2 linked regions of the Notamacropus eugenii genome follow. The protein of the gene in region 1 binds, or shares a complex with, the protein of each later gene. Links are inferred from orthologs where the notes say so. Each region holds a gene or a part of one and is shown on either strand. Other genes may lie near its edges.

Region 1 (6,884 bases):
AATGTTTTTCCCCTCATTACAACGTTATATTCACAAACTACAGTTTGGTCAAGTCTTTCTCAGTTAATGGGTAGTAATTTTGTTTTCAGAGTTTTTGCTATCACAAACTCTACTATGAATATTTTGGTATATGGGGACCTATATACTAAGTGGATGTCTTTGACCTTCTTGGGGAGTTATGTCCAATAGTGAGACCAAAAGATCAAAGGGGATCAGCTTTTCTCAAGTCCGAATGATTTTCCCCAAGAGTAAGACCAATTACATCACTCCATCAACAGTGTATTCATGCTTTGGATCTTCCTATAGTCCCTCCAACAATGGCTACTTTAGTCATTTTGCCAATTTGATTTGCATGAGGTGAAATCTCAAAGCTGTTTTATTTTGTATATCTTTTATTATTGGTGATTTGGAACATTTTTAATATGGTTGTTGATAGCATGCCTTCATTTGAAAAATGTTCATATTTTTTGATCTCATCTGTTGGGGAATGATTCTTGGTCTTTTATATTTGTGTGAGTTCACTATGTATTTTGGATATCATGTTGTTAGAAATATTTTATGAAAAACTTTTTTTCTAGTATAATGATGATGATGATAACTAGTGCTAAATACTTTCTGATTCCCCTTATACAGTTATAAATCTGGGACAAACAGAAGTGACTTGCCCCAAATTACGCACCTAGTAAAGTGTTAGAAGCCAAATTTGAACTGAGGTTTGTCTTGACTCTAGGACAGCACCACCCAGTTTCCCCGAAATCCTGCTCAGATAATTCTGTCATGGGTAGTTTGTGTTCTTGGTTTTATGGAACCCAGGTTTACTGGGTTTAATTGCTTACCTCATCTTCAGTATAGATAATTTATTTTATGCAACTTCTCAAGTGTAGACCATTCTCTGTACTATGCTATGACACTCACCATGCATCTTTCCATTGTCTTTTGGCATCACCTGCAATTTCAATTCTTCTGGGATTAGGATATTTTGTGAATGAGCCATCTGGCATCACTGGAGAACTATTTGTGCTAAAAACCACTGACTTTTGAATTAGAGAGGGGCTTGGGATTTTTGAAAGTGTTACATAGTTTCCCAAAGGAGATGCAGCCTTATCTTCTTTTATTCAATTTTGGCAATTCTTGAAATGCAAATAACTATAATCCACAATAATAATTGTTAAGTGGAAAGAAAGTCACAAAGTGTTGTGGAAGGTCTGAAGGAGAAGGTCCATAGTACAGGGGGATTAGGGAAAGCTTCATAAAGGAAGCTGGACTCTAGAAACTTGGAGGGAATTCATGGGGGGGGGAGGAAAGGAAGAAGGCATTCCAGATGTTGGGAAGGACCTATGCTTAGGCATATAGTAAGGAAAGCTGGGTCTTTACCCAAGGTTTCTGGGTAGAATTGCCTTGGAGAACATTGGGGTGGGGCCTGAGGGAATTTGTTCTTCCCTCCAGTCTTAAGAGGTTGTGTAGGTAGTACCCTCTACTAGAAAGTGAGAATTGCACCCTGAAATAACACTGGTCACAGAGTGTTGTAAGGAATAAACAAATGATTATAATCTGTAGGAGTTCCATGAGGCATCAGATATTGGTCAGTTAGTCATCTAGCATTTATTAAAGACCTACCACACATCAGGCACTGAGCTAAGTGTTGGAAACAATGAGGAAAGGCAAAAAAAACCCCAAAACAAATGGTCCCTGGTCTCAAGGAGCTCACAATCTGATGTGAGAGACAACATGAAAACAACTCTATGCAAAGAGGAAATAGGAGAAATTGGGGTGATCTCAACGGGAGGGCATTAAGCTTCAGGAGGGCTAGGAAAGGCTTCTGGCAGAAGGTGGGACTTTGGCTGAGACCTGAAGGAAGTCAGAGAGCCTAGGAAGCAGGGATGAAGGTTGAAAACTTTCCTGGCTTGGGGAACAACTCAGGAAACTCTGCTTCATAAATGCTGAGCTCCTCCTTCAGTAATACAGTTCTGTCCATCCTCTCCCAGAAGGCAGAACTATTTAGTAAGTTCTTTGTCTTTTGGAAATTCTTGAATGAAAGCTTTCATGAAGGAACCAGATATACTTATCATTATATGGCTCTTTGTCATCCCAGATGGGGGATGTATAGAAAATACTATCAAGAAGAAATAGGCAGTGTGGTTCAGTAGTAAGAGCTCTGGACTTGGAGTCAGAAGAAGTCAGAGAGACATGGGTTCAATTAACGGTCCTGTCACTTGCTACTGGTTTGACTTAGACAAGACACTTCTTTCAGCCTCAGTTTCCTCTACAGTAAAACTGGGGCATTGGACTCGATGGTTTCTAAGTTTCCTTCAAATTCTATTAATGAATAATTCTTGAACTTATATGTAATCTCGAAAGCAACACTGTAGACTTCCTTAACACAACATTTATGAAGTGCTCAGATCTGTGCCCCTCCCGCTTCATGGGGATTACATTGGGATAAGGGGAGGACACCAAACGGAAGTAACTGTCCATGGTCAGTATGTTAGACATCTGCCAGGATGTATTATATGGAACACAGTACACTACATTCAAATCAGTGGAACTCTTTTTACGACCCCCTTCCCCCAGGTTGGTAGCACAGATGTTCTAGTCCCTTCATAGCTCCCAAAGAGCCTGCTTTTACACTGTCCCATTCCCTCTCCTTTGGTGGATTTACTTTGATGTTCAGTGCTCTATACAAGTGGCAGAAGGCATGGTGCTTTTGAGCATGGGCTGAAAATCTTTCTGGCTTACTTGGATTTTGATTACCTGCAATTAAGCTAACACCCCCAGAAAAAAACAGCTAGGAGCCTTAGCTTTGGCAGTGGTGATCATGCACTTACTGGCCTGCGAACTCTTTTTTCCAGTAGCTTATCTTGCTCCTTTTGGAAAGCTTTAGATATACATGGGGAGGGGGAGGGCAGGTTGGAGAATGGGAAGCAGAGTGTAGGATCTTTTGAACAGGACATGGGAAGTCATAGAATTTAGCTCTGAAAGGGACCTCTGAAAGGTCATCTAGTCCAGTTAGTCACAGGATCATAGAAGTAGAACTGGCAGGGATTTTTGAGGTCATCCTGTCCAATCTATTTTTGTTAAAGATGAAGAAACTGGGCAAGTGACTTGGTCAAGGTCACACTGGTAGTAATTGGAAGAACTGGGATTGATTAGAGGTCTCTGCTTGTAAATCTGTTGCTCTTTCCTCTGCACCACGATGCTTTCCAATTCCCTCCATTTTTCAGATAAAGAAATTTCAGGGTGTGACTTGTCTAGTGTCATACAGCTAGTACGTAAGACGGATGGACATTCAAACTGGGACCTCTAACTTAAAATCCATAGCTATTTCCTGCAATACTATGGTGCTTCTCAAGGTTGAGAGAGCTTAGCTTGAGAAAGGAATTGAGATGATTTTCTTGTGTTTTGGAAAGTGAAATTCCTGGGTATCATTTTCAAAACAAGGAGGAGGCCTAGGAGCAGGGAGGAGTGGGGAGGAGTAGAGGCCTGATTGGTGGGGGCAGCGGTCGTTCAGTGTTCCATTCACTGCTCTCTAAGGTGCTTCGGTACCGTTGGTGGTCCCAGTCCCATCCTGCCCGTCGCCAGCTGCCCCCCACTGCGTGGGTTCGGTGACAAAGTGGCACTTCACGCCCATTGGCACTAGGACCCGAAGGGCAAACTGGCTCTGGGAGGGGGAAGGGGGCGGGGGGAGCGAGGAGGGAGGAGGAGGCGCCGTCGAGTGGCATGCCTATTAACTAATAGGAATCCGGGGCAGGGGGGCGGGGGCGTAGGCGCCCAGAGGGGGCCGGCCAATGGCAGGCGGGCAGCCGCTGGAGCTGCCGGCTGACGTGAGGAGCTTTCCATTCCTCCAGCGGTGGACTGCTGCCGCAGCTGGCCGTGGCTCCCGACGGCAAAGGTCCATCCCCCCCCTCCCCCCCGGCCCCCTCCCGGAGGAGGAGGAGGCGGAGGCGGAGGCGGCGGCAGCCCGGGGCTCGGGGCGGGGCGGAGGAGCCACCACCTATCCCCCTGCCTGCTGCTGAGATCGTTCGCTCCCTCCCGGAGGAGAACGCCACCTTTCCCACCGCAGTCCCGGTCGCCAGGTAAGCAGGGGGTCGTGCTTGGCTGTGGCTGGCTCCCGCGGTACCGATGCTTCCCGCTCCCTCCTTCCCTCCCTCCCCCCCCACTCTGAGCGGGCTGGCCGGTCGGTCGGCTGGCCGGCTTGGGGACAGCCTGTCCCGGATGCTCGGCAGCGGCTCCGCGGAGCCCGGGACCTGACCCGCTGGGGGGCTGTGGCTGTGACTGTGGCCGTGGCCGTGGCGGCACGTGGTGGGGCTTCCCGGGGCGCACGGGTTATGTGTGTGTATGTGTGTGTATATGTGCGTGTGTATGTATGTGCATGTATATGTGTGCGCGCGCGTGTGTGTGTCCGCGCGCCAGCCGGCTGGCAGGAGGGGCGGGTGGGGGGCTACGCGGGCTCAGTGGTGTGCGCGCGCGCAGTTTGGGGGGCGTCCCCTCCTCGCCTCGTCTCTCACTCGAGGGGGCGCTCTTGCGGGTGGGGGTGCGGGGTGCGGGGTGCGGGAGGAGGGCGCTCGCGCCGGAGGCGGCTGGGCCTCGGGGCGGGCGGCCGCCGCTCGCTGTCCATTTCTTCTCCTCGGGCTTCGGAGCTTTGTTCTGCTCGACGCCACTGGGCAGCCTCTTGCTTCCCCGTGGTGTCCCTGTTCCCCGCCGGTACAGCGCAGCCCGTCTCCCCCTTGCTGCCCCCCTGTACCCTAGGGCATCGCCCCTTCGACCATGGCCTGGAGCTGTGAGCGCCTGCTGGAGCGGGGCCAGCCCCGCGGCGGCGGCAGCGGAGGCGGCGGCCTCCTGTGGGTTGTTTCTCCTCGGCAGCCTTCCCGCCCGCCGCCCGCTCTCCCTGGCTCCTTCCCTGGCTCCCTCCCTCTCCTCTTCCCAGCATGTGGCGGGGGTGGCGGCGGCGGCTGCGATGCTCGGTACCTCCGAGGGGCGGGCTGGGCTGCCGAGGGTGGGCCGGGAGGAGAGGGTGGTGATGTTGGAGGGGGGGAGGTTCGGCTCGGGAGCGCGCTTAGGCCCCAGGGAATCGAGATGGGCCACTCCCGACTGTCCCACATAGCACCTTGCCCATTTCGTAGCAGCTGCTGCTGCTGCTGCTGCTGCCATCTTTGCTCCTTCCTACCTCCAAGCCCTCCCCCACCCTCTCTCTCCCACCTTAGTGAGTCAGTGCCCTCTACCTAGAGGTCCTTCTTCAGGAACGTGGTTTCATTCAGATCCCATAAGAACCATCAAGACTCTCAGTTTCTGGGACCCAGAGGGAGCTTAGACAATGTTTGGTTAGGGCAAATCTGGTTTGTGCAAATACATTGTGTATGCATCATGTGGCCGTGTCCAGAAATTCCTATCCATGCCAGAGAGTGACTTATCCCCTCAAGTGAGTCATGTTTGTGTAGTAAATAGAAAGAAGGTGAAAGAACAGGATCTTGGTCCCTTGAAGGACAAACTCTCTAGTATTTTCTCCCAGGCTTTGTATAGATGGTTCGAAAATAACAAGATTGGGTGGAAAGAGCAAACACCTGGGAACGGGGAAACCCAGTGCCTAGTGCTCACTTTACAACCAATTTCTTGTGTGATCTGGCCAAGTCATTTAACCTCCAGGCCTCAGTTTTGTCATCTGTAAAATGAAGCTATGATTCCTTATGATCATCAGTAATTGGGGACAGAGGTAGAAGACAGAAGGATAACAACTCATTTTAAGAAAGATTTTCCGAAGTGCTTTCACATGTATTCTCCACTGAGCCCAGCAATAGATCTGTGGGGTAGTTAGCAGAAGTATCATCCTCATGTTCATTCTGAACATGAAGAAACCGATACTCAGAGAAGTTGATGTTAAATTTGGGCTCAGAACCCTTTGACTCCAAAGCCAGGGCTCTTGCTACAGATTCCATGCTGTAAGGCACTGTTCAAATCACCTGAAACTGTCCTGCTATCTTTTGGCAGATACAGATTAGGGGCAAACCATTATGTCCGTCCCCCTCACTTATTAGTACTGCCTTTTGGGGAAAGGGCATTGGGATTATCTCATTTTTGTTTTCATTTTTCACTTTTTCTTAGGGTTGAAAGTCAGATTTTTGATGATGTTTGGCTCAACAGAAGCAGCAGCCACCAGTGCCACCAGAGTTGTGGTTCTGAGCCTGGACTTGAGTCAAATCACATTTCTCCTGTGACTGAAGGCAAGCTTAGGAGGTGTATTGCAGCCATGTCTGTGATGGTGGTGAGGAAGAAGGTGACTCGAAAGTGGGAGAAGCTCCCAGGCAGGAACACCTTCTGCTGCGATGGACGTGTCATGATGGCCCGGCAGAAGGGGATCTTCTACTTGACTCTCTTCCTCATCCTGGGGACTTGCACCCTCTTCTTTGCTTTTGAGTGAGTTCCCCTCAGGGCAGACTTGCCTAATTCCAGTTGGTAACAGTGCAACATTGGGGCAGGGAAAAAACACTTTTTCTGGGGTCTTCATTGTAGGAACTGTGTTCTTTGGCCCTTGGAATAGATCTTGGAACCATGGTAGGGGTTGGGGGAAGGGAAGGATCTTGTTTTCCACTGCTTGTTTTTGTGAGAAACAAAACCCAATCGAGCAACTAAGCCTGTCTGGTGCCAGCTCCCATAGTACTAGATCTGGGTTCACCCTAGCACGTAGGTGAAATGTATCATTTGACTTGGGTGACTCTTTGTTCAGCAACTCATTCCTTGTCCTTTGGTCCCTTTCCCAGATGTCTCTTTTCCTCATGTTTTATCCTCCCCACCCCCACCCCAAGTTCTAGCTCTTCTTTCCTGCTTGGTCCTTTCTCTCTGCCCCTTCCCTCCTCACAAAAGACCAACCCCTCCCCCCCAAAAAGAAACCC
Region 2 (7,092 bases), on another chromosome or scaffold:
AGTGTCCAAGCAACCTACTTAGCCTGGTCTGGCAGTTGCTAAATGACCTTCCTGGTTAAGCCCAGCAGTAGCTGATAATGATGGGGAGCCACTTTATCAGCCAAGTTAACAGTGCAATACAGTCTAGTAGTGTATTTACCCATTCAGTCAAGATACAATGCCTTAAAAAGATCCCAATGGCCTGCATTTCCAGAGTTGTGAGTGACTTTGGCATTTTTGCATCACTGTTATTGCACTTTAAATTCATATCATTAACTTGGAAACAAACAATCAAATGTAGTATTCTCAAGTATAAATTCATCTATCAACAAACTGATAACACAATAACTGTCAGTCTAGAATGTGCTGCTTAGCATCTACATTCAGTTATGTGCTGGTAAATATTTGATAACTGTCTCTGGGGGGGGCAGAAATGTGTGCATGGCACACTTTCAAGTTTAATCTGGTTTATCAACATTTTTTTGATCACTTTCTTAGGTCTAGAAACAGTCAACAAAATGATAAAGTAAACCTGCTTTGTAGTGTTCCAGATTTTCCAGGTGTACTTATAGTGAAATTTTAACAATCAGCTCTCACTAGTCTGGTTCCAGCACAACCCTGCTTGTATAGGCTTTCCATAGACTAAGTATATATTTGTATGAGAATGTGTCCTATAAGGGTGAATTTGGAGGGTAGTATTTGGGTGATGACTGGAGGGTTCCAGGGTTTCATCTCTACCTAAAGAGGTATTAAAGGTACATAGAAAATACAATAAGACAAAAATGTATTAAATACCAGCTACTTACAATTGTTTTAACTACTAAGGAAATAAGAACTTTAGATAAGACAATATCCTGTCCCCATGAAACTTCCATAGAGATCCATAGGGATAAGACACCAACACAATGTAACAAACAGTTCTGAAAACAGAATAATCCTTTCCTCTGCCACAGAACTAAAGAGCATATGGAAGAAGAGGGAGAAGAGACTTCAGGGCTGGACAGCCATGAGGGGACAGAAATTGAAAGCAGCAGGTGCAGAAGTAAAGGCAGCAGCTAATAAATAGATGGATGTCAGAGAGTTCCTGGGCCAAGCCAGGAGCTATAGAAAAGAAGATTACTTTGGAACTCAGGTAAGGGAAGGTAGGACAGCAGTTGGGAAATGGGCTAATCAACAGCAAATGCCAAAGCAAGGGAGCACAGTCCCCAGAGAGGAGAAGTGAGTTGGAATGGACTGGGCCTGGGTCCGAGACTTGTAATAGTAGTACACAAAGCAAGGACTTGACTAGTTGGTCATTTAATATTGCGGAGCTACCACTATTCCCTTGCTGACTAGGCTTCTGCTTCTCACAGGCCTGTCCTATTTTTAAATGCTTTCATTGCAGGGGACTAAAGGAACCCAAAGAGAAAAAATAAGTAGTTTGGGGGTAGTTAGGTGTAAAGTAGATAGGGTGCGGGCCCTAGAATTAGGAAGAACTAATTCAAATACTTACTAGCTGTGGGACCCTGGGCAAGTCACTTAATCTTATTATCCCTCTGTCTTCTTAAGCCTAAAATAAAGATAATAATAGTGCTTATCTCCCAGGGTGGTACTGAGGATCAAAGGAGATAATAATTGAAGAGTACTTAGGACAGCTAAGAAGTACTATACAAATGTTAACTATTATTATTATTAACAAGAGCCAGATTCTGACCTTCCCAGGAAACCCAGGATTGGAGCAAAAGGAACCATAGAGTCAACATACACACAGTGACAGGATTAGATTTATATCTAGAACTGAAAGGGACCTCAGAAACCACCTAGTCCAACCCCAACATTTTATAGATGAGAAATGGAGGTCCAGAGAAGTTAAAAGATTTGCCTGAGGGGTCACACAGTAAGAATCTGAGATAGGATTTGAATCCAGGGCTTCCTGACTCCAAATGCATCATTCTATCCATTATGCCTGTCTATGCAGGGGTAGATCTGGGGTTTCAAGATGCAGGTTATGGCTAAGAAATGCCTTATTACATACTAAGTATATTATAGAGGTGCAGAACAAAGTGGTATGCGAGGTGCGATCAGAATGTTCCCAAGAGGCATGATCTGCTATTTTTAAATTTTCATTTTAAGTTTTGTTTAGAACCAAATGCTCTACTTATTGGTGGTTTTCTTTTTTTTATTAATGACGAACTTCAAGAGTTAGTGTGATACAATAGCTAGAAAGTCATCCTTGGAGTTAGGAAGTCCTGGGATCAAGTCCTTCCTAAGATCAATACTGGCCACGTGATTTAGAACAGGTCTCAACTCTCAGAGCCCTAGGTCTATGGCATCAAGCTCAGATGGAAGTGGGACCCCTAAACCTTACATCTGGATCCCTGCACCTTGCCCATTAACCACATACTCATACTATGTTTTATTGTATTTCATTTGAAGGATTTCCCAATGCCATTTTAATCTGGCTCAACAAGTATCCTGGCCCAGCGGGGCCAGCCGGCCCTAGGATTTCACCCCTCTGCTCTAGGCGATATTCTAAGCATATATATTGCCAGAAAACAAAAATAGTGTTGACCTGAACTGGTGGAGAATGTTTTCATGCTCTGGGAGTTCCCCACACCAATGAAAGAGAGGTCCAGGCCATTTCCTATTATCTATTTAACAATCATCAACAAACTCAAGGGTTTTGATATACAAAGAACAAGATTACGTAAGAAACTGAACTTGTCTCGCAGAGTTTGTTTTTTAAGAAACATTCAACTTGGCAAGGCGTTCATTGGATGACCCTTTCCCCATCTTGTTACAGCGCGTGTCCTTGATGCTGGAGGTGGGGCTGGGGGTGTCTGTGCCATCACTAAGCTATAAGTGCAGTCCCCTCAGAACAAGTCCACGGAGCCCTGGAGCTGCTGTTTCATTGAGCGCCCAGAGCCTTCCAACGCCAGGACGTTGGAATCCCCGGCGGAAGGCTCTCGCCCCGGTCTCCCCCACGAGGGGCTGCCGCTCCTCCCTCCGCCAGCCCCTCTCCTCCGCGGTCACCTCCGACTGGCGGGGGCTGCGGCTGCCGCTCTGGGGGTGCCGCTCTGGGGGTGCCGCTCTGCGGCTGCCGCTCTGCGGGTGCCGCTCTGGGGGTGCCGCTCTGGGGGTGCCGCTCTGCGGGTGCCGCTCTGGGGGTGCCGCTCTGGGGGTGCCGCTGTGGGGGTGCCGCTGTGGGGGTGCCGCTGTGGGGGTGCCGCTCTGCGGCTGCCGCTCTGGGGGTGCCGCTCTGGGGGTGCCGCTCTGGGGGTGCCGCTCTGCGGGTGCCGCTCTGGGGGTGCCGCTCTGGGGGTGCCGCTGTGGGGGTGCCGCTGTGGGGGTGCCGCTGTGGGGGTGCCGCTCTGCGGCTGCCGCTCTGGGGGTGCCGCTCTGCGGGTGCTGTCCAGCGTCAGCGCCGCTGCGGAGCGCCTGGTGCGGGGCCCGGACCCAGTGAATCCTCCCTGACCGGCAGGTCACGCTGACAGAGGGACTCGGGGGCTGGGACGGCCCTGGGAAGGGGCAGCTGAGCTGCGCAGGACTGTCCGTCCTCGGGACCCGGGTTTTGTATTCCTTGCTTTCTCGGTGTTAGGGGTGGAAGGCATCGCATGAAAGGGAAGGAGAGAAAGGTGTCTTTATTTGAAAATAAAGTGTAATGTAATTTTAAAAAATAGACCCAAAGGAATCATCTGGGTAAACCCTCCGGTTTTACTGACAAGGAAAGCAAGACCCGGAGTCGCTGGGTCACATTTCCAACTCAATAAACATTTATTAAGCGCCCCAGGTGCCAGCCACGCTGCTAAGGGAAAACCGTCCCTTCCTTCAGGGAGCTTCCGCTCTAATGGGTGTACCCGGCGGTAAACAAGGCAGAACCGGACTCGGAGCTTCGCTCCCCTGATCCTGCGCTCCCGCCACGAGGCCCGAAGCCGCGAAGAGGAGGGAAAGCACGAGGCGGTGCCCCACATGCCAGTCCCTCCCGCCCCGGGCTCAGCCCCTCCCCCTCCGCATCCCTCCCCACCTCTCCCCTCTCCGCAGACCGCGCCCGAGTCCGGGGCGGGGCCATTGGCGGAAAGTACCGCCCAGCCTCTTTGCGCACTATCGCGGCCGTTTCACTTTACGGCAGGCCGGAGTGGGTGGGGTAGGAGAGGTCAGGGAGGGGGGAAGGTTTAGGGTGGGGAGGAGAGACAGGAGGCTTGTTTGCAGCAGGCCGTAAGTGAGGGACGAGGCCGCGCGACAGCCGCTGGAGGGCCACGGAGAAGGCGGGTCGGTGTTTCCCAGGCCGGGGAGGGGGGTGGCGAGGGTGGGCTGGGCCGGGCTGGGGGTGGTCGGGGCGCGGGCCCGGGGGGTGCGGGGGGCAGCGCGCGGGGCGGCGGGCCCGGGGAGCATGGGGCTGGCGGGTGCTCCGGGGCCGCTGTCACGGGCCGGCTCCCGGGCCCGGCCTCTCCGGGCGCGGCCGGCGCCGGGGTCTTGAGCGGAACCGTGTTGTCGTGTCCCCCGCAGCGCTGCGCGGCCCGGCCCGGCCCAGCCCGCCATGAGGCCGCAGCAGGCGCCCGTGTCCGGCAAGGTCTTCATCCAGCGGGACTACAGCAGCGGCACCCGGTGCCAGTTCCAGACCAAGTTCCCCGCCGAGTTGGAGAACCGGGTACGGAGCCCCGAGGGACCCGCGCCGGCCCCTGACAGCTTCCTTCCTGTGGCCGGGAGGGGGGAGGGTGCGCCGTGGCTCTTCTCTGGGACCGGCAGATGGGGAAATCGAGGCAGGGTCCGGAGGAGGGGTGCTGGCGGAGAGCAGGCTGGCCCAGCAGCAGCAGCAGCGGGCGGCTTTGGGGGCCGGGGGAAGGAAGCTCCACGCTCGTTGTCAGTGGTCCTGGGCCCTTTGCTAACTCGGGAGCGAGCCTGGCATCCCACCGCCCTGTTTGAGTGGCCAGGAAATGAATGCCCGTGTGCTGCTACCTGTGTAACCCACCTGCCACCCAGGGGCAGGCTTTTTTTAATGCATTATGGAAGTGAAACACTGAAATATTTTCCCCCTTTTTCCAGATATACGGAGTAGTGTATGTATGTATGTATGCATGTGTATGTACGATTGGTAGTATTTATGTGTAATATATACTGTATCTAGTGTGTGTATACAGATATAATAGTCCATCAATAAACAATATTTAGTTAATGGCTTCTGTGTAAATACTGCTCTAGTAGTACTTATGAATAATATTTATAATACATACATATTCTGCATATACACTGTGCTGTATATATAGTATAGACATACTGTATGTAAATACTGCTATTACACATAGCATAAAGATTATACGTGGTATAAAATTGTAGATACTATACGTAAGCCACGGACTAAGTGTGATTTATTAAGAGAATATTATTTGTGTGTGTGTGTGCATACACAAACTGTTTCCTATACTGAGGTCAGTTAGTTAGTGGTTAGATGGGATCTGGTTTAGTTGCTTGTTTTTCTGTTGTTGACAGTTTACTCTGAGGTGCTTAGGTAGGTGGTGGGTGTGGGGCTAAAGAATGTTGATCTTGGAATCTGTAGGTGTAGATGAGTGTGTACTTGAGAAATTTCCTTTAATAGTGACATAAAACCATCTTGGACTCAGTTGGGTTGCTCTATAGGCAAGGCATTCAGAATAGGAGTAGAAATCTTCAGTACCTTACTATAAGATTGGTCCTTCCCTCCCTTTCCTTTAAAGCCTGAGGCAGATCGGTGCTCTGCATCTCAGTTTTCTCATCTTGAAAATGAAAATCAAACCACTTTATAGAGATGTTTTATGGATTAATCCGTTGTTTGTGAAATGCCAAATAGATATTGAGTTTTGTTATTAATCCTGAAACTGTGAGTCAGCAAAATATCAGTCATCAGTGAAATAAAGAGTGCCTCAGCTAGGCATAACTGGTTGGCCTTTCTACCATAGCCTTTTCCAAAGCACCTGCCTTGAAATCAGTTCTGTTGGCTTTTTGGAGAGGCATTAAGTAAGATAAAGAGTTGGCTATTGTTACAGCAAGTTTTACAAAGTAGCGTAGCATTTTAAATGGTAAAATCCATATGAATTAGGTGAAATTATCTTTCAAAATCTCCTACAGAATAGAATTAGAAATTTAGCAATCTGATTTACATCCCCACTGCCCCCAAAACATGGCTTGAAGCTGCCCTTTCTGAGGTCATCATTGTCTTTATAAGTGCACAGTGGCCTTTCCTCTGTCTTCGTTGTCTTTGGCTTCTTTGCAGCCTTTATTATACTCTCCCTAAAATCCTCTCCTGCTTGGCTTCTGAGACCCTGCACTCTTGTGGTTCTCTTACCTCTCACTGAGCCTTCGACTCCTTGAGGTTCTCTTCCTCCGTTGCCCAAGACTCTGCCCCTGACTGCTCTGTTCCCTTTCCTTGCTGTGTCTCTCATGGCTTGTCCACTTGTCTACAGATGACTCCCCAGACTAGATCCAATTCTTGACTTTTCTCCCATGGTACAAACCCCCTCGATCTCCTTTCTGGCTGACATCTGCATCTGGATTTTCTGCTAGCATTTCTAACTTAGCATGCCCAAAGCTAAATTCATCATGTTTCCCACAAAACTTTCTCTTCAGTTTCCTAGTTGGAAAATATCTTAGCAGACAGGAAAATACTGAATTTGGGAACAGAGGATCTGGATTCAAATTTAGCTTTTTCTCTGCCCCTATGCCCTTTTAACAAGTCACTTCACTTGGGGGGGGGGGATTAGACTAAATGACCTCAAAGTTCCTTTTAAGCTATGATCCTGTAATTATGTCAGTGACCTCATTCAGGGCTCCCTTTCATCTGGGCTCAAGATGGGCTTAGAGATAGCATTTAGTCTTCCATCTGCCTCACTGAAGGTTGCCAGTTGATCAACATTATTTCAGCTTGGCCAGTATTTTATCATAGAGGACAGCTGTTTCCTGATGATATTTTGCTATGGCTGGATTTTTGTTTTTGGTTTTAGCTTTGATTTCAATAACTCTACTCTTTCCCCATATCACTCAGTTCATAAGATCATTCTCTTCTTAGAAAAAGTCTTTTACACCATCATTTCTTTTCCATTTCAGTGCCCCCTCATTGCCACTCACCAAGACTACTGTAACAGCTTGTAATTGGCCTCCCAA

What was found.
Region 2: the proteins of ZDHHC9 (region 1) and GOLGA7 are in contact, whole or in part, in a cryo-EM structure (PDB 8HF3), measured with the Homo sapiens proteins. The link is inferred for Notamacropus eugenii from reciprocal best matches to the Homo sapiens genes ZDHHC9 and GOLGA7. Residues at the interface, in NP_001008223.1 of Homo sapiens: Phe78, Ala81, Arg85, Ile94, Pro95, Leu98, Asp100, Glu101, Phe104, Ile105, Phe129, Gln130, Ile131, Asn132, Ile146, Pro149, Pro150, Arg182, Tyr183, Leu186, Tyr274, Lys281, Cys284, Glu285, Leu287, Cys288, Gly289, Pro290, Leu291, Pro292; in NP_001002296.1 of Homo sapiens: Lys11, Phe13, Gln15, Tyr18, Ser19, Ser20, Gly21, Thr22, Ala57, Glu58, Leu60, Ser64, Tyr65, Gly68, Cys72, Ala75, Tyr76, Thr77, Phe79, Leu80, Tyr86, Glu87, Leu90, Ile116, Arg118, Gly119, Arg121, Val122.

Annotation. Positions count from the first base shown.
Region 1 is NC_092879.1:51,564,946-51,571,829, reverse strand, and holds the start of ZDHHC9 (palmitoyltransferase ZDHHC9), read left to right. Parts: upstream 1-3,861; 5' UTR 3,862-4,073; intron 4,074-6,096; 5' UTR 6,097-6,241; coding exon 6,242-6,408; intron 6,409-6,884. UniProt on the Homo sapiens protein: Palmitoyltransferase that catalyzes the addition of palmitate onto various protein substrates, such as ADRB2, GSDMD, HRAS, NRAS and CGAS. The ZDHHC9-GOLGA7 complex is a palmitoyltransferase specific for HRAS and NRAS.
Region 2 is NC_092872.1:619,250,496-619,257,587, reverse strand, and holds the start of GOLGA7 (golgin subfamily A member 7), read left to right. Parts: upstream 1-4,071; 5' UTR 4,072-4,227; intron 4,228-4,464; 5' UTR 4,465-4,495; coding exon 4,496-4,606; intron 4,607-7,092. UniProt on the Homo sapiens protein: May be involved in protein transport from Golgi to cell surface. The ZDHHC9-GOLGA7 complex is a palmitoyltransferase specific for HRAS and NRAS.